3 linked regions of the Canis lupus familiaris genome follow. The protein of the gene in region 2 purifies or fractionates together with the protein of the main gene of each other region. This does not show direct contact. Links are inferred from orthologs where the notes say so. Each region holds a gene or a part of one and is shown on either strand. Other genes may lie near its edges. The genes, in order: RBM26, SRPK2 and RBM27.

Region 1 (6,006 bases), on a different chromosome or scaffold from region 2:
TGTGACTGTGAGGACCCCAGTATGGGAAGAAAGTTATTTTTTCAATGTGACATTTAATAAAATCACTATGATCTTAGGAAGGGCAGAAACACTTGCAACTGAAATGATGAATTTTAAAAGATAAATATGTAATCTCCCACCCCCTCATTCTACAAAGAATGCATTTATTTCCTGAAATTGCTGTATCAACTTTCAATGATCATGTTCATTTGCCAGAGAAATTCACTTAAAATCACAATACTGTTGCAAATGTCAAAGATTTTTATACAAGTATAGGAAATGCACACTTAAAATATCAGACTGGAACACTTACCAAACAGTGTTTTCCTAAAGTAGTATCTATAGTACATTTCTTTATTCATACATCTTCAAATGGTCATGTTTTCTTTCATACATCCAAAATGTAATGTGATGTTTTCTTATTCACCAAATGTTAGCTCTACTTGAAGTCTGGTTCCAAACTAATAGCCTGCTTTTAAATTTTAAGACATCTGTTGAAAATTTATAGGATCAAACCAAACTGAAGTGGTATAAATTTTTCACATTGGATTGTACATTATTGTAAAGGTACCAGTAACCATTATTAATAAGTTAGTGATTATAGCTCCTTTTGTGATAATTGGGGGGAAGGGTAGATCACCATCTGGAATGGTCTATTTATTTTAATTTTTTTCTTTTTTTTTTTTTCTTTTTTTCTTTTTTAAAATCAAGGAACATTGTCTTGGCCTTTGTGGGTTGTTTTTTTTTTTTTTTTTTTTTTTTGTCATTGCTTTTTTTTTTTCTTTTCTGTTCAAGAGACCATTCCACTTTATTTTTAACATCTGAATGCATAAGGACTCATATGCAAAGCAGTCATACACCATTATCATTAAAACCCATATAGTAAAATACATACACAAGTCCAACAAAAGGCTAATACATAGTAAAGCCTAAGCATACTACTATGTAATATTATGAATACATAACTTGGAGACTTTAGTTAGAGTACTATGTTATCTATTCATTTTTGAAAACATTCATTAAGATTTTAAATGCAAATTCATTCCTTATTTGGAGTAAAACAAAATCCTCTAAGTTATAACAAGTATTGGTCATAAGTTTTTAGACCTATTCATTAAATTACAAAGAACCCAAAGAATTCCGTAATGTTCAGTAGAAGTATGTAATAAAAACATTGCATATGTTTCTAGTGTGATGTCTTTAGCAATTGTTTACTGAAATAAAATGCAAACATCAATCTTTCAAAATACAGGATCAGAAGGTAGTTTTCTTCTCTTTTGTCTATTTGTGAAATCCATCTTCATCACATTTTACCAAAAAATTGTTTTTACAAATATGTAAAAGTACATTAGATAATACTAATGAAACACAGGTAGAGTTCTAGCATATGCAGATCAATGATCAGTCAAATCATCTTCTCCAAGAACGAGATTCATTGTCCTCTTCTTCTTCATCATCATCTTGAAGTAATGAGTCATCCACCAAAGACTCTTCCTGAAACTTTAGGTTAAAATGCATTTAGGAATTTACCCAAAAAAAAAAAAGAAAAGAAAAAAGGTGACACTTTTAAATACTGATTTCTCTCAACAGAGTTGAAAACAAAAGGTATTTTCTACAGCTACAATATTCAAGAACAAAGAAAAGCAACCTTTATCCACTCAATGGTTTCTCTATAGTATCTATTCTATTGCTTATATCAAATAGGCACTAAAAAAAATATCAAAGAAAGCCTTTGTACATGCCATTTCTCCTGCCTCACTTGATCAAATTATGCCATCTTCTACACCTGCAAAACATTGCTCAATACCTTTAGTTTTTTTTTTTTAAAAAGGAAAACATCAATAAGTCTTCTCTGACTTACCCTAACCCTGGACACTAAATCAATCAATACTTGTAGAAACGTCTACCAAGATTTATATATTTTTTCTGCTATATGTAACAAACATTTCTTTCATAGCATTCCTTGCTTTTCCCCATTTCCCTTCATAAAAGCTTCTCAGACTACTTTTCAAACTTTTCAAAATACCTAATACCAGGAGCTCTCCTGCTTTTCTCCCCATTCAATTCAAACTCATGGAAGGACAAAGGTATAATCTAAAATATAAAATGACAAATCATGTATATGAGTTTCAAAATACACATTTTATTCTTGCATTTGACTATGGATATGTATAACAGCCTCGAATGCTCTTCAAACAAATGAAGTGCCATTACGAAAATCTAACAAAGGTAAAACATGGAATCATTGTTTCCCCACCTTACCTTTATTTATTAACTTCCTCAATTTTTTCCTATAGCTTATTTCATGATCAAACAAAATAGAGTTGCTTATTTTTAGGTTTATGATTTCAAAGGGCTCTCCCACTTCACTGTTTTTTATGTTCACACCTATTGGCCATCATACTAACTGCTGTACCCAAGTAAAATGGACTGTTCCATATCTAATTCCTCTTCCACATCTAAAATGCCTCTCTCAACTCTATTCTCAGTCCAGCTCTTGGTTATGGAAAGCTTTTTGATCACTTAGGCTTCAGCTATGCTTGTCACCACCTTCTTCAAGATTCTTCTGAACAGAAATAATCACTCCTTCCCCTAGGTTCCCACAGCATATTGTTCAAATCTTTATTGAGCCTTTCATTATAATTAGTTTCTTATGTGTCTGTCACCACCCCCCTTTCCAGATTATAAGCTCCTTGATGATAGGGACCGTGTCTTATTCATTTTTGTGCCTATCACAGTATCTACCATATAGCAGGCATTCACTCTAATGAACTAAAACAATATGAATTAAAATAAAGGAAACCTGAAATGTTAATAAAGCAATTGAGTAGGATATATACTCTAAAACTTAAAATATTACAAGATTTCCTGTGGATAAAAATCTAAACAATAATTATTGATTTCTAAGAGTAAATGAAAACTGAGCGTGTATATATATTTGTGTATATATATATGATTTTCTTTCTTTCCTTTTTGGATTAGCAATCCATGTTCTCATTAATCCAGAAAATTTAAAGTTGTCTGCATTTATCTGACATTCCCTTCCTGGAATATGGCTCAGGAATAAAAGTTTTATGTTAAAATCACAGCCATAAAATCACATCTCATATAAGAACATGAGCACTTAGGGCCAAAACAAATTAAAAAAAAAAAAAACATACTTCCTCTTCATCAGGTTCAACTTCTTCTGTTTCAACAGCTGAAATATTAGTTATTGGTTTATTCCATGCCAGTTTTAGATCCTGCCCTTTGAAACGAGCTCCATGAACTGCAGCCTAAAACAATTAAGAACATTAGAATGTTGAACATTAATAATAATTTCTGAAGAAAACAGTGAAACGTTATAGCACCTAATATTTAAATTAAAACAAAAGCAAAGATACCTATCCATTTACTTTGTAGTTATTTATTTCTTCACTTACTATTTATTATAATTTATTATTTACTTTTTATGGTTATTTACTTCTAAACCCAGCTTTGTGGTTGGAAATACCTTTAAAAAGAAAACAAGTACACTTTCTCATGCTTGAGCAGAGATCTTTTACTACTGGCCAGTATCTGACTAGAACTATCTTTACATGTTTAAAACACAATAAAACGGCTATTCAAGGCAACAATCTCAAGGCATTTCAAGATCCTGGCTGCAGATTCTGAATTGAAGTCTAAATTAGGATCAACAGGCTAACTGTATTTCATTGCATTTAAATTGTTAATTTACAAGTGACATGCAAAGTAACTACAAACTGGAAAACTTTAACAAATAAAAAATAATTTTGCATGTGTAGAGTATAACATTATTTTTAAATATATGATGTTTGTCATATCACTCTTACAAATATGTTACTTCCATGAAGAAAAAAACTCAACGTTTCTACTGAAACTAAAGTACTTCTTACAAAGCTTTCAGAACTGCATTAAGATTGAAGTCAAACTTAGTATTTGCTACATTAAGTGACTGGTTAAGAAATCGTGCATTCAAATTAAAGTACCATGAACTGAAATAAATCAATGTTAGCAATATATCTAAATAACTCATAGTCACAAAAGATTTATAGCACAACCTCAAAGTATAGCATAATGTGAAATCTAGAAACAATTACATGTTCAGTGACACCTGACCATGAGTTGTGTGATACTAAAATCTCCAGATATAAATTTTAAATCTGCACATATAAATCTATGATAAATTTAAAGATTTCATGCCCATTAAAACGCAGCTCAGGAGTTTTTAGTCCATGGCCTCATCACAGGGTTATATAATTAAAAAATTTTTAAGTAGTTATATATGGTATTTAAGATTAGAAACAACTTGTAATTTTTTCAAACTAAAACTATTACATAAAAATATATTACTGTAGGAATTCTAAGAGTGTCATGCAAAATGTCTACTCATAAAGCTCATCTTTTCATCCAGTTAAAAAAAGGTCAAAGCTTTTACTGATATTTTCTAGAAGTTCTTGACATTTCTGATGACCTAATACTGTAAATCTCTATATTTAGCACACACACTTTCAAATTTATAAGGTGAGTCTACAACCCTCTCAAGTTTTAACTTTTTTAAAGTTTTAATTTTAACATCTTACAGGATGATTTTCAAAGCTAGGTATACTTAACATTTTATCAACCTTCTCCATTAGAAACTTCTGACTACATAAACTATATAAACTTCTGGCTATATACATTTTTGAGATAACTTAGTTCTTGCTTTTTAAGTTCTTGCAAATTTATTTCAGGTAATTTACAACATAAAAATCTTTAAAGTTTAAAAAAATTCTACAACCCAATCATTTTATTTTTTTAAAAAATTCATAAAGTTCAGGTTATATAATGTAAAAAAAAAATCATAATCCATGATGTCCCATTCTGAAGAGAGAACCATTATCTTTGGAAGAGTTTGGGGAAAAAAATCCTGCAACACACTAAATTAAGTTCTATGCACATACTAAAAGGGTTCGTGTATATACATATGTAGGATATGTACATGGGAACATACTTTACTGATCTTACACTTTTTTTTTCTATTATTAATCCAATTATTTTACAGATCCTTTCCATAGCCATACCAACAGACTTTTCACTTTTCTTGAATGGCTCTATGTATATATACACACACACACACACACATTTAAATTAATTTCTTAAATGAACTTTGTCCTGTTTGGCAAAATATTCTTTTTTCAACTGGATCATGGTTTTGTTTATAATGCATGATTTTACTGAAGGGAAAGGTGTTTCTGTTCTTTTTGTCATAACTAAATTTTTGTCATAAGTAAGTTTAAATTTTCATGTACTATAATTTATCAGTGTTTATCTTTATGGTTTCCAGGTTGTGCCAAACCTTTAAAAAGCCTTCTTTACACTAAGATTATTTTCAGGAATTCCATATATATCTTTGATACCAAAAATAAACACACAATGTATTATTTTTTCCTGAAAGTCAGTTGTCCTAATATTATTTACAGATTACTCAGTAAATTTAAATTCCCTGATTTAAATAAAACATCTTCCTATAATCCTCTATAATTCTTTTAGATACTTAAGTCTTTTTCTGGACTCTAGTTCTATTAGCTGTTTATCCATACCATTACTGTATTACTTCTTTATTTCATAATGAATTTGATATCACTCTTCATCCTTTTCAGAATATTCTTAGTTATTATTTTGTCCTTATAACCTCTGGAATTTTTGGCCAAGTCTAGTACCATACTGTCTTACTATTGCTTAATAAGATAGTATCAACTAGATCAGTGCTTTTCAATACTGTAGCAGTTGCTTCAAGAATTCTGCAATCATTTTATTAAATGTACATTTAAAAATGAACTTTGTAACTAATAAAATATTAGTAAAAAACATCATATTTAAATGTATTCTACAAGATGCCTATTTCAGTGAGGTGGTAGTGGTCATAAAGGTAGAAGTGAGGTAAATATAAAAGTATACTAAATAAGAAAGGAAAGTGGAGGAAATAACTTCAGAGGAAGGTAAAATTAAATTTGCTCACCTCAG
Region 2 (7,203 bases):
GTCAAAACATCTGCTTTGCTTTGTTGAATTTCTTATTTCCTAGACTCTCCCTTCTCCCCACTTCTACCATGGAACACCAGCAACATATTGTGGAATTTACTTCCTTTCATGGAACATGGTTTTGAAAATAAAGTGCCTAGCACAATGCCCCTAATTTGTACTTGGAAAATTATAGTTTTTCTCTCCTTTTCAGTGTTAATTTTAATGGTTCAAAATTGTATTGTAAATTCAATTCACTTCAATTTTAGTTTAACCTTTTAAGTAAGTAATAAGCCATTTTTTTCTTCTCATTTTATTGAGATGTATTTCATAATATAGCACTGTATGAGCTTCAGGTATATAGCATCATGACTTGACCTATGTGTTTATTGTGAAATCACTACAATGAGTTTAGTCACCACCTATCTTATCTGCTATATTCTTAATTTATTATCTTTTAGTTCATATCTTTTACCCAGAATACTGTTAAAGGCTTTGTGTGTGTGTGTGTGTGTTTTTAAGATTTTATTTATTTATTCATGAGACACACACACACACACACACACACACACACACACAGAGGCAGAGACACAGGCAGAGGGAGAAGCAGGCTCCATGCAGGAGCCCAATGTACGACTCAATCCCGGGACTCCAGGATCATACCCTAGGCCAATAGCAGATGCTAAACCACTGAGCCACCCAGGGATCCCCCTGTTAAAGACTTTGATATTAAAATCTGAGAAATCGGGATACCTGGGTGGCGCAGCGGTTTGGCGCCTGCCTTTGGCCCAGGGCACGATCCTGGAGACCCAGGATCGAATCCCACATCGGGCTCCCGGTGCATGGGGCCTGCTTCTCCCTCTGCCTATGTCTCTGCCTCTCTCTCTCTGTGACTATCATAAATTAAAAAAAAAAAAAATAAAATAAAATAAAATCTGAGAAATCCAGGTGTAATGGCAGGAGAATAAGAATCTTTAAAACTCAGTATCTTGTCAAATTACTGCTTCACTAATTCAGTTAGGAAACAATCTAAATAAACCCAAAAAATATTCATAGTATTTCTTGAAGTTTACTCCTAGCCTTCTGAAAGAAACTTAGATACATTAAAAGATGTGGCTTGAATACTTCCTGCACCTGCTCTGAGCCTCTGAACACTAGCTGGGAAGGACCTATCCACGGACCTATCCTTCCTTGAGTGACTTGTAAGAATTGACTTGCAGACTTGAAAAATGAGAGATAATGTTGCAATAAAGAAGCGGATGTTATAAGAATAAAAAGTCAGAAAGCATTATGTGTATTTTAGTAAAAAATTAAGGTAGATAAAAAGAATAAAAGTAATTTTATACCCAGAGATGTTTGTTGCAAACATCTTATCCCCCTAGATTTTTCCTGGTGTATTTCACAAAAATGGTATCACATTCTTCATGCTACTTTGCAGCCTGTTTATTTTACTTACAAATACAGAGTAAAGGTCTTTTTATGCCAGATATTTATGAAAGCACTCTTTTACCTTTCCCAAGTATCTGCCTCCACAGGGTATGCTCTCTCACTCTCCATCCTATTTCTCAGCAGTGGTTTGAGGTTGGAGAAGTCAGGGGAGAGAGGAGTGAGCTGTGTTGGAGGGTGAACTGTTGTACATTATATGATTCCTTGTTGGTTATACACTAACTATTGGTGTATGCAGATTTACTCAGAGTACACATTTTTTATTTTGCTGAGTTATTATACTAACCCAAGAAGATTTGCATTGAATTTATTGCTTAGAAAAGAAGATGACATTGTATGGAAAAGTCAAGAACTGGTGTGTGCATATTATGTACACAAATTACTGTTACAGAGTGCTTGATGGCTTGTCTGAGTTAAATCAGAATGAACAGAAGGGCTTTTTAGGCAAAGGACATTTTTCTCTCGATGAAAGATACTTTCAAGAAAAATGTTGTATTATTAAACATATTTTGATCTGATTTTAGTACTTAGAGCTTTCTTAAATGGACTCAAGAACTGACTAAAGGGTGCACCTGGCGGGCTCAGTCAGTAGAGCATGTAATTCTTGATCTTGGGGTCTTGAGTTCAAGCTCCACATTGAGTATAGAGATTAATTGAAAAATAAATACAATCTTAAAAAAAAAAGAACTGACACAAAGGAAGAGATTTTATTACTATTTCTCTGAAATTAAAAAAAAAATTTTTTATAACAGGTGGCTACCATCCGGTGAAAATTGGAGACCTCTTCAATGGCCGCTACCATGTTATTAGGAAGCTAGGATGGGGACACTTCTCAACTGTCTGGCTGTGCTGGGATATGCAGTAAGTGTTCTTTGTCATTTGTGCATTTAGTTTCTGGACTAGTTCAACCTTTATAATACAATATGGCTGAGGAGCATGCCTACTTCTGTTGTGGCATGTATACTACTTGGCATAAGCCTGCCCCACTCACCTAGAGACCCACCCACCCCAGTCAGAAGTTCTCTTGTCTGTTATCTTAATATTATTAACTTTCTTCTGCTTTTATGTCTGAAGCTTATTCATTGAAATTGCATTGTATCACATATTCTTCTAATAATTCACCCATATCAGAGAAACATTCACATGTAAAATAATGATGTGTCGACCTTAAAAGTCAGTGGTTTCTAACTTTTTTTTTTTTTTTTTTTTACGGCTCCATAGTATGAAACTACAATGCTACCCCTTACACACATACATATATGGTGTGTATGTGTATGTACTAAAACAGAAGTGTTATAAAATAAGAATTACCTTTAATGTATGGATGAACTCTGATATTTTTCCAGTCTACCTTTTTTTTTTAATTAGGTAAAGACAACATGATGCAAAGAAGAGATTGTTTTGATCCATTAACCTATTGCTTAATTGCTGTTGCACAATTTGAAAAGTACTGTCTTGTTTTTTTTTTTTTTTTCAAGATTTTATTCATTTATTCATGAGAGACACAGAGAGACAGAGACACAGGCAGAGGGAGAAGGCTCCATGCAGGGAGCCCGATGTGGGACTCAATCCCGGGACTCCGGGATCACACCCTGGGCTGAAAGCAGGCGCTAAACTGCTGAGCCACCCAGGGATCCCCGAAAAAGTACTGTTTTAAAGGAAAGATTTTTAGAAGTTCTTATTTATTGGGATGCTTGGGTGGCTCAGTGGTTGAGCATCTGCCTTTGGCTCAGGTCCTGATCCTGGGGTCCTGGGATCAAGTCTTATATCAGGCTCCCCGCAGGGAACCTGCTTCTCCCTCTGCCTATGTCCCTGCCCCTCTCTCTGTGTGTCTGTCATGAATAAATAAAATCTTTAAAAAAAGGAAGTTTCTATTTATTGAATAGATGTTATTATAATGATTACTTCTGTTAATATTAAAAATATGCATTTTTTTTTAAAGGGGGAAAAGATTTGTTGCAATGAAAGTTGTAAAAAGTGCCCAGCATTATACAGAGACAGCCTTGGATGAAATAAAACTGCTCAAATGTGTAAGTATCCCCAAAATGTGAATAATGCAAGAAAAATTAATGACAAAATTTTACAGAGGAATTTTTAAGTTTGAATGATGAATCTTTTATCTTTAAAAACATCCATTTTACTAAAATGTTTTTAGTTGATTATAATGGAAATGACTTTCAGTCTTAAATATTTCTGTCCTTGAATTCATTTTTTTTCCTGTAGGTTCGAGAAAGTGATCCCACTGACCCGAATAAAGACATGGTAGTACAGTTAATTGATGACTTCAAGATTTCAGGCATGAATGGAATACGTATCCTTACTGATAATTCTTTTATTTCCTAGTGGCTTTTTACTTTTAAAATATGGAAATATTTCAAGCTTGTTTAAACTCCTGTTTGCTGTGCTGTATCAATGTCTATATAAAGCCTCTACTGTCATCATAGAATGCTATAACATGGTATGCCGAAAATTCCCCAATTCCTGCCAGTCCATTTCAGTGTCTTGGGTAATCTCTCTGGGGTTGTACAGCATCTTAAACATTCTTCTTGTCCAGGCACCGTGCTCTTTACAGACAATCCCTCTACCTTCAATATCAAGCTGGGGAAGAACCATACATATGTGTAAGTAGAGAGCAGAGAAAGATTAGTCACAGTCATCATTACAGATGAAAAGGAGCAAAAGATCGGTTGTGTCAAGAGTCAGGGTCTTCTCCTTGCCAATCTTTTGCTCCTTCCATCATAACATGTTTGGAACAGATCCATCATTTTGGTATTTGACCTCCTCCAGCTCCAGAAGCCCGAGGACAAAGCCTTCTCCCAGCTTACAGCCCAGACTGGTACCCTGTTTCTGTATCTCCTAAGCTTTAATCCCTGAGCAGGCACTTCCTTCATACCCTGTATGTCTGAAGGAGGTTCTGTATTTCCTTCAGAGATTGGATTAGAGGGTACTAGTAAGTACCAGTGCCTGCTGATGTCACTTTGTCTTTTCCTCAAGATTATTTCTGGTTGTTGCTCAGTGCATTTTCCCCTCGTTTTTTTTTTTTTTTTTTTTTTTTTTTTTAAAGATTGATTTTTGAGGGAGAGATTTGAAGAGGAGGAGGGGCAGAGAGAAAAGGAGAGAAAGAATCTCAAGCAGACTCCCCACTGAGCATGGAGCCCGATGCAGGGCTCAATCTCATGACCCTGAGATCACATACTGAGCCAAAATCAAGAGTCAGACGCTCATCCAAGTCATTCAGGTTCTGGTGTTCTTTCCACCACCCTATAGACAGAGCTGGTCCTTTGCCCTGTCTCCAGGTGAGCTTGTTTGTTTATGGGCAGGCAGGGCAGCTCCTCTTCTTAGTTTTGTAAGGCAGTTTGCTGGGATAGCTGAGAGAATTTCTTTGGAGAAACTACCTGATTTATAGGTAAATGGAGTGTTTTGGGTATATATACATTCCAGTGGCTGTTATTACTATTTTATAAAGCGCCAGGGAAACCATTATAGTCCAGGTTGTCAGTGCTTTGAGAAGATTTAGGTCATAATTTAGAAATCTTGGCCTTTGGCTCTGCGTCTTTTACCAACTGTAATCATTTTGCCATTTTTTATAATGATTTGGGAAATAGTAAGAAACTTCTGGCTTTATATTATCTGTGCATAAATCTATAATGTTCTCCTACAGTGTAGAAATGCTTTTTAAATTTTTCACTAAAAATATTTAAAGCAAAAAATAAAATAAAATAAAAATATTTAAAGCAACTGTGATAATTTGATTGGTAGATCTAGATATTGTAGTACAAAATATTAAATCAATTAACCTGCTTTTAATAGCCTGTCTTTAGGCTTCCAGAGATGAACAATATATTCTAAAAAGGTTTCAGAGACATTATAAATCTTTCTATATGAATAACATGAATATATTTGTATGATGGACTTTAGTGGGTCTACTTCTGCAGAGTCCCTGGTTGACTAGAATACCCAAATTCCTGAGATTTCATTATTAAATGCTATGTTCTATATTGTGATCTTACATCATTGAGAGCCTCCTGTAGTATTAAACTTGATCTGGTTCTGCAAAGAAAGATACTCTTGGGGGGTGCCTGGGTGGTCAGTCAGCTAAGTGTCTGCCTCCAGCTCAGGTCATGATCTCAGGATCCTGGGATCAAGCCCCGCATGGGGTGGGGGGGGGTCCCTGCTCAGCAGGAAGTCTGCTTCTTCCTCTCCCTCTGCCCTTCTCTTGCTCATGTACGAGCGCACTCTCTCAAATAAATAAATCTTTAAAAAATATATATACTATTGAAGGAAAAGGTTAAATATCTTCACTGTGTTTTGTAAATTTCTATTTTATAAAATGTTTTATGTGTTAGGAATATAGGCAGGCAGGACACTTTTAAGAAAGGGTTTTTTGTTGCCCCCTCTCCCCCATCAGTTTTTTTTTTTTTTTTTTTTTTTAAGATTTTATTTATTTATTCGTGAGAGAGGGAGGGAGGGGCGCAGAGACACAAGCAGGCTCCATGCAGGGAACCTGACATGGGACTTGATCCTGGGTCTCCAGGATCAGGCCCTAGGCCGAAGGCGGCGCTAAACTGCTGAGCCACCCGGGCTGCCCTCCCATCAGTTTTTATGAGGTTTTAGCCTTGCTTACTTTCATTACTGCTGATTATCAGGGAGGGGGATGTTGAAATGAGCAAGAGTGCAGGGAGGTGCAAGGTTGCCTCATGACCCAGCAACTTTTGGACTGTGTGACACTGGGGATCTTTTCGGCTCCTGGGTTCACTGTGGTTGCTTCTGTGTAGGGGTAAGCATATTGTTTGATAAGCCTACACTGAGTAACATGTAGGATATAAGTACTTGGTAAATGTTAGATCTACCTATTTTGGTGAGAAACAGCCTGTGACCACTTTGGTATTATTGATGGTAGTGATGATGCATTTTTATTTTATTTTATTTTATTTTATTTTATTTTATTTTATTTTATTTATTTATTTTATTTTATTTTATTTTATTTTATTATTTATTTTATTTTATTTTATTTATTTTATTTTGATGTTGCATTTTTAAATGTTTTTTGTTGTTTCTTAGTGCACGCATGTAGGTGTGCATGATTGGGGATGGGGCACCATGGAGAATCCCAAGCAGTCTCCATGGTGAGCGTGGAGCCCAACGCGGGGCTCCTTCTCACTACCCTGAGATCATGATCTGACCCAATACCAAGAGTTGGACGCTTACCTGACTGCGCCACCCACGTGCCCCATGATACAGCATTTTATAAAGATAAAATTGCCAAGTGCTACAATGATACCGCTTTGAGTAATTGCCTCACTCCAGGAAATGTGTCCACACGTGATCCTTAACCATATCCCAGATGTCTGCATGGTCTTCGAAGTGCTTGGCCATCATCTCCTCAAGTGGATCATCAAGTCCAATTACCAAGGCCTCCCCGTACGTTGTGTGAAGAGTATCATTCGACAGGTGAGGAAGCCAGGGCAGCCCTGCCCTCCAGTGCCTAACTGGCTAGCCTTTCAGTGCAAATTGCTGTTCTTAAATACACACACATGTGCATGCTGTCACAGGTATAAATATAATCTCTTATAAATTTATACATGTACATTACAGTGTACATTTGAACTTGTTACATCAGTTTTATAATTATCTAATCACATGTCATTCTGTCTTGTGAAGAGGGCAGTAGGTAAATGTCAGGCATGCATTTCTTTTGGTGTATTGATCTTTTGTTAAGGTAAGTGATACGACATACTGAGGAATTGTTTTATCTAATATCATTACTATGAAATGACC
Region 3 (7,203 bases), on a different chromosome or scaffold from region 2:
GGAAGGTTAACTGTGCAAAAATACAAAGAGAGTATACTGACATTAGTAGAAATAATAAGCAGTATTACTGCTTCAGATGACCTAAAAATCAGACCTTGGAGAGTCAACTGAGAAGAGGGAGAATAATTTTCTAATAATAAAGAGTCATAAATGAAACACAATCGGGCAAAATAAATTACATAGGTAATACTCATTAATGGTACAAATAGATAATAGCCACATAATTGCTTTCCGATTTGAACCCTACAACTACTGCCACTTTTTTTGGGTGTGAGGGATAACCTATATGTCTTCAGATAGCATGACTGTGAAGAGACTTTTTCCCTTCAAATATTAACTTTTTTTTTTTTTTTTAATTTTTTTTTATTTATTTATGACAGTCACACACACAGAGAGAGAGAGAGAGAGGCAGGCAGAGACATAGGCAGAGGGAGAAGCAGGCTCCATGCACCAGGAGCCCGACGTGGGATTCGATCCCAGGTCTCCAGGATCGCGCCCTGGGCCAAAGGCAGGCGCCAAACCGCTGCGCCACCCAGGGATCCCAAATATTAACTTTTAAAATGTGTATATGCTGCTTCTATAATTAGGAAAATTTTCAATAAAAATATTTTTTCAAAGCAATTTTGATGAAATATTTTACATCCCTCTGGTGAGAGAGCCACAATTTCAAATGTATTATATATAATGTACATAAAAATTTGCATTCTATATATCTGATAAATTTATTATTCCAAGTTATCAAAAGGCCAGAAAATAATCCAAAATTCCCTAAAGAGCTGTAGTATAATGGAACCACTGCATATGGTTCCAGAGCAAGTACTCTCTAAGGAAACAAATGGCAATTAATGAAATTAGACTTAAGTGGATCTAGAAATTCTGATTCTTTTTTTCAACAGAATGCCACATTTTTACCATATTAAAGCCAATGGTATCTTTTGAATATTAAAAGAGATGGTTCCACTATACCATAATATTAGAAAAACAATTCATGAAACAGGAAAATACACTTTTTTTTTGCCATCACTCTAGCAATTTCATCTTCAGGAAGTTAAAAAAAAAAAAATCTTTGTTCAAAGAGAGTATTAGCACCTCTTTCAAAGAGAGTACATAGCATACAGAGGAACATTTAAAAAAAATTGTTACTCTGTCGCCCCATTAGACTATTAGCTACCTAAGGGCTCCAATGTACTTTCTTTTTTTTTTTTTTTTTCCAATGTACTTTCAAAGAGCCAAGCACATAACAGATGTTCAACAACCCTATGCTGAATGGAAAATGCAAATAGATACCTCTGTTTTTGTCTTTACTTTAGATGGTGTGGAGACTGCAGAAGATGTTTTTAATTCATCTTTCAATTGTGAAATCTTTTCTCCAAGCTCTTTTAGAGTCTTCATTATGTTTGCTCTCTCTTCTGGTTTCATGTTTTTGTTCTTTTCTAGCTTAGATATTAGCATCTATAAAATAAACAGAAGAAAGTAAAACCATGCTTAGTAAATTTTAATATAAATAACCTTTATAAACTTTACTATGAAGGTATCTTTGTAAAATCCATTGTATCCATCTTCCAGCAAGCAAATAATGAGTTCTTATCTTACCTTCTGGCATTCTATTTGTTTTTCTAGCACTTCTTGTCTCTTTTTCCTCATATCTTGTTGTAGCTTCATTGCTTCCTATACGAACAGATTAAAAAAATTAGTAATGGATATTGCCAACATTTGCATACATTTGTTAAAAGACCAACTCATTTCTTCAGGGTCATTCCTATGTTGTGTACGAAAAATTCTGCTCCGAATCAAAAAATAGCTGAAACCAGAGACAAAAACCTTTAAATACATTTATTTACTTGAATGACGTAAATGTATTTATAAAGAATACCTGTTTTTCCTTGCCAATGTAATAAGCCAATCCTTATTTTTCATGTTTCAAGTTTAAAAATGTGAAATAAAGCTAGAGGACAGAAGTCATAGCAAATTCTATGGATTTTTACCAGGAAAATATTGTATCTCACCCCTCTCTGTTAATCTCCAATTATACTGAGACCATACAAACATACATTTTATTTGAAAAACTCTTATATGAGTTTAAATCTAAAAAGTGAATGAAACTTCACTTTTAATAATAATAGTAATAATGAAACTCAGAAGTGAATCATATGAATAACAAGTACATAAATGTTATACTTTATGTGAAATATTGTCTAACTTACAAAGCAAGAGAGGATTTAAAAGAGGAAATAATGAAGTTAAACTGTCTGCTTCCTGATCTTGGAGAAAAAAACCAAAACAGGTCAACTCAGTATTATTTATTTTTATATCAGAAAAATTCTTTCCTTGTGTTTGATATAGCTACTGAAAGGGAACCACTAAATACATTTTTGTCTGTTCATCTTTTTTTTTCAAATGTACACTGTACCAAAAAGCAGCTAAATAAACATTATAATGTGGTTCCATAACAACATGAACTATCCAAATGTGCTAACATAATCACTTAAGAATTCAATGGGTCAGTTCCTCTTTAAGGAGATTAGAATCAAGGCTGTTACCTGCTTCTTTTTAAGAACTTCTTGAACATCATGAGATTTAGAACCTGAACAAAGTTTCGAAGGTGTCTTTAAGTTTGAGGAGCTGTAAATCATTTTTGGATGGCCTGGAGCTGAAAATATCTAGGAAACACATATAAAATCAAATTTTAGAACATATAAAATCAAATTTTAGAAAAGCTTTAATTTTTTAGAAAGGCTGCAAGTATTTGTATTTTTTTAGGAGTTATACATTTTTTTACATTAAAAACTTCATTTATAAAACTAGCTTTTTATGTATACATAAATCCAATTGTCACTCAAATGCAAAAACAAATTAATTTTAGCAATAATGTTGTGTTTCAGGATATGATCACATTATTCCTCTTCTAGTTACATTTTTTTAATTAAGAGAAAAAGAATGTGGCCCCTTATATCTAGGAGCAGCCAGCCAACTACCCAGAGTCAGTCCTTATATGTCCTCCTGTTAAACAAAAACAATTTCATAAAAAAATCTCCAACAAGGCCACTCTTGAGACCAGGATGGGTCAAGGCATAAACAAGACCACAAGATCACTCCATAATCATGACTGAAGAGACAAAAAAAGAGGAATCCTGTCTAAACAGTAAAACTGACTAAATCTCTCTCTAACCCGGCTAACAGGGATGACTGTAGCTTCTTTACCAGTTATAGCTCTAGCCTCATCCTAGTTTTCCGTCCTTTTAGGTTAAGGCTAATTAAGACATCTGATCACAGAATTACTGGTTTCCTTAAACCCTCCTCCAAATCAACTAACTCAGGATTAAGGTACTTTGTAATCATAATATTATTATATTTAATCAAGTGCTATATGAGTTTATAATCAAACCTACAACAAGCAGTTAGCTCACAGATCTGAGTAAAGTACTGGCCATCTCTACTGTGCTAGTTTTGTTATTTAGATTGCTTTCTCCTTCTGAACAGACCGTTCTCCAGTTAGTCTTCCCTTAAGGCACAGCAGAACTACATGATACAGTACTATCTCTCTGGTTCAAGTCTTTCCTAACACACTCTCCTCTTTTATTTTTTAACTGACTTTAAATATGTGATATAAAAAAAATATGTGATATAAGGGGCACAATATATAATATTGAGAAATTCACAGAAAATTCAATTGTGTGAATTCTATCATTAAATATCCATAATAAAATACAAAACTTCTCTCAAACAATAGTTAATTGTCCTCAAAATTAAGCTACTTTAACTACACAAGCATCTCTGAAATACTGTAGGAACACTACACAGCTGAAATTCATATTATTTACTAACATACAAATGGCAATACCTACAATTTACTGAGCACTTAGTATGTATTAAGTACTCTTGTTCCATGCTTTATGAATATGAAATTTTTCAATCCCCACAGCAACTCAATTTATAGAAAAGGAAATCAATACTCTTGAGTTATCTAATATATCCAGTAAGAGGCAGGTCAAGTCAGTCACGTCTGTCTGACTTCCAAATCTATAATGTCTTTGTTTTGGTATCTTTTTATAATGGAATTTTTGAAACAAAAGAGTTATATTACCAATTTGATGTATCCATCACCAAGCACCAACAGTTATCAGGACATAAAATATAGTAGTTCCCCCTTATCTACAGTTTGGATTTCCACGGTTTCAGTTACCAGAGGTCAAGTGCGGTCTAGAAATAGATAACCTTCATCTGGCTCATCAGAAGGTCATGGGTAACCTAATACTACATCATAATGCTTGTATCATTCACTTCACTTTACCTCATTATGTAGGCATTTTATCATGTCACATCATCACATGAACAAGGATGAGTATCGTACAATGTTTTGAGAATGACCTCTCATTTATTAAAGCATATTGTTGTAAATGTTCCATTTTATTATTGTTGTTTTTCCTTTCATTGTGCCTAATTTATAAGTTAAACTTTATTATGGGCAGGTATATACAGGAAAAAAGATAGTACACATAGGGTTTGGTATTATCTATGGTGTCAAGCATCCACTGTGGATCTCGGAAAATATCCCCCGCAGATAAGGGGAGACTATATAATCTTGTTTTACTTAAATCCCCAACTCCACACTCATACCAAACACCACGTTGTTTTATCTGTAAATATTACAGTTGTACCTTTAAAAGATAACGCCCCCTTCCTTTTGTAAATATAACCCCGTACCATCATCACACTTAAAAGATAGTAACTACTTAATATGATTAGATATTCACATTCTAAACATTTCTTATCACTTGAATTGGGATCTATACAGTCCATCTACTGTCACTGGTTGTATTTCTTTTAAGTCTCCTTTAATACCATTTCATTCCCCCCGTCTTTTTTTTTTTTTCAAATTGTTTATTGAAGAAACCACATCACTCATCGTGCAATATTTGCCACAGAATTCTAGAATACCCTGGTAACATGTTCCACTGTCCTTTGAATTTCCTTTAAATTTGTGAATAGATCTAGAGCCTTTATGACTACAGCTCATTCTCTGACAGGATTCCAGAATCTTTGACAACTTCCATTTTCTGGTTGGATAAAATATTCCAGGGTCATCTAGAACACTGTTAGACCCAGATCTGGGGTTCTTTCCTCAAGAACCCTTGGCTCCTCTGAGTGCTTGGGAGGGGGCAAGGGGTCATTACCCTTGGACTGATTATTACTTCTAGACCTTTTCAGTGAGTAGAATTTAAGAAATGTCTTAGAGCTTTTTATTGCTTATTTGTTTTTTAAGATAAAACAGTATCTGAAATTGTTATCAATACAGTTGATCCTTAAATAACTCAAGATTGACCCCACCCCCACCCCACAGTACAAAAATACACATATTTAACTTTTGACTCCTCTAAAACTTAATAGCCTACTGTTGACCAGAAGCCTTACTGATAAAATAAACAACACATACTTGGTATATCATATAACTGTATTCTTACGATAATAAGCTATAGAAAAGAAAATGTTTCTTTAATACATTTACAGTAATTTACTGTACTAATCTTAAAAATCTATGTTTAAAAGGAGCAGGTGTCCACTGACGGATGGATAAAGAAGATGTGGTATTATGTATAAAGCAGAGTATTACTCAGTCATCAAAAAGAATGAAATCTTGCCATTGGCAATGATGTGGCTAGAACTAGAATGTATTATGCTAAACAAATTCAGTCAGAGAAAGACAACCATATGATTTTACTCATGTGGAATTGAAGAAACAAACAGATAAATGGAGGGGACAGCAAGGGAAAATAAAATAATCTAAAAACAAAGAGGGAGACAAATCATAAGAGGGTCTTAACTACAGAGAACAAACTGAGGGTTGCTGGAGGGGAGGGAGGTGAGTAGTGTGGGGTAATTGGGTGATTGGCATTAAGGAGGGCACTTGGTATAATAAGTAACAGGTGTTATATGCAACTGATAAATCACTAAAGTCTACCTCGAGGGTGTGTAGATGGCTCAGTAAGTTAAGTGTCTACCTTTGGCTCAAGTCATGGTCCCAAAGTCCTACTCTACTCCCTCTACTGCTCCCTCCCCCATGCTCTTTTGCACTCTCTCAAATAAATAAAATCTTTAAAATTCTACCCTGAAATTAATAGTAGATTATGTTAACTAACTTGAATTTAAATAAAACCATAAATAAATAAATTGATTGACTGATCCATGTTCATGTGGACCTGGCACAATTCAAACCACGAATGTTCAAGGATCAACCATACTTTGAATTCAAAGCAGACTACGGTGTTTTTACCTTATCTCATCTATTGTATGCCTCTTTTCAACTGCACTAAATATATCAGTTGTCATTGACAATATTAATTCTTCATTTGATTTACCCTACAATGCTCACAAACTAGTTTCAGAATACCAACACTGCCAGAATCATGATTACTGAAAAATACTTTTTTTTTTTTTTTTGAAGAAAAATACTTTTTAAAATTGCTTTTTGGGGCTCCCCGGCAGGGAGCCTGCTTCTCCCTCTGCCTATGTTTCTGTCTCTCCTGAATAAATAAATAAAAATCTTTAGAGAAATAGAATTGCTTTTTGTGGGGCGCCTTGTGGTATAGCTTATCAAGCATTCACTCTTGGTTTCAGCTTAGGTTGTGATCTCAGGGTCATTGGAATTCAGCCCCAAGTCAGGCTCTAGGCTCAGTGTAGAGGGTGCTTGGATTTCTCTCTTCCTCTCTCTACCCCTCCCCCACACATTTCTTTCTCTTTCTCAAATATATTTTTTTAAAGATTTTATTTATTTATTCATGGGGGCGGGGGTGGCAGGCACATTCAAAAGGGAGAAGCAGGCTCCATGCAGGGAACCCGATGTGGGACTCAATCCCAGGACTCCAGGATCAGGCCCTGGGCTGAAGGCGGTGCTAAACTGCTGAGCCACCCAGGCTGCCCTAAATGAATCTTTTTTAAAAAATTGCTTTTTGCCTCAGGCTTCATCTCATTAGGAATATAGTCAAATAACTGTGTTTTTAAAGTACTCTCTAAGCAAACATGAATTCGTTTCACTTGTCTTTTTAATTTTTAGAGATTATTTTTTTCATTTTATCTTTTAAGTATATTTCACCATTTATATGGTTCCAAGACAAATCTACAAAGCGAGACATAGTCAAAGTTGTCTAGTTTTTTCGGTCCCTGCTGTAAACACCAAGATTTAAGTTTTAGGAATTAAAAGATTTT

What was found.
Region 1: the proteins of SRPK2 (region 2) and RBM26 purify together in Homo sapiens (co-immunoprecipitation; 3 studies listed by BioGRID and IntAct, with this or other methods). This does not show direct contact. The link is inferred for Canis lupus familiaris from reciprocal best matches to the Homo sapiens genes SRPK2 and RBM26.
Region 3: the proteins of SRPK2 (region 2) and RBM27 purify together in Homo sapiens (affinity purification with mass spectrometry; 3 studies listed by BioGRID and IntAct, with this or other methods). This does not show direct contact. The link is inferred for Canis lupus familiaris from reciprocal best matches to the Homo sapiens genes SRPK2 and RBM27.

What each region holds. Positions count from the first base shown.
Region 1 is NC_049243.1:32,682,823-32,688,828, forward strand, and holds the end of RBM26 (RNA-binding protein 26), read right to left. Parts: intron 3,276-6,006; coding exon 3,162-3,275; intron 2,095-3,161; coding exon 2,002-2,094; 3' UTR 1,752-2,001; downstream 1-1,751. UniProt on the Homo sapiens protein: May be involved in the turnover of nuclear polyadenylated (pA+) RNA.
Region 2 is NC_049239.1:15,478,631-15,485,833, forward strand, and holds part of SRPK2 (SRSF protein kinase 2), read left to right. Parts: intron 1-2,177; coding exon 2,178-2,286; intron 2,287-3,367; coding exon 3,368-3,455; intron 3,456-3,648; coding exon 3,649-3,736; intron 3,737-6,769; coding exon 6,770-6,876; intron 6,877-7,203. UniProt on the Homo sapiens protein: Serine/arginine-rich protein-specific kinase which specifically phosphorylates its substrates at serine residues located in regions rich in arginine/serine dipeptides, known as RS domains and is involved in the phosphorylation of SR splicing factors and the regulation of splicing.
Region 3 is NC_049223.1:39,856,192-39,863,394, reverse strand, and holds part of RBM27 (RNA-binding protein 27), read right to left. Parts: intron 5,208-7,203; exon of another isoform or gene 5,074-5,207; intron 2,661-5,073; coding exon 2,541-2,660; intron 1,669-2,540; coding exon 1,594-1,668; intron 1,453-1,593; coding exon 1,288-1,452; intron 1-1,287. UniProt on the Homo sapiens protein: May be involved in the turnover of nuclear polyadenylated (pA+) RNA.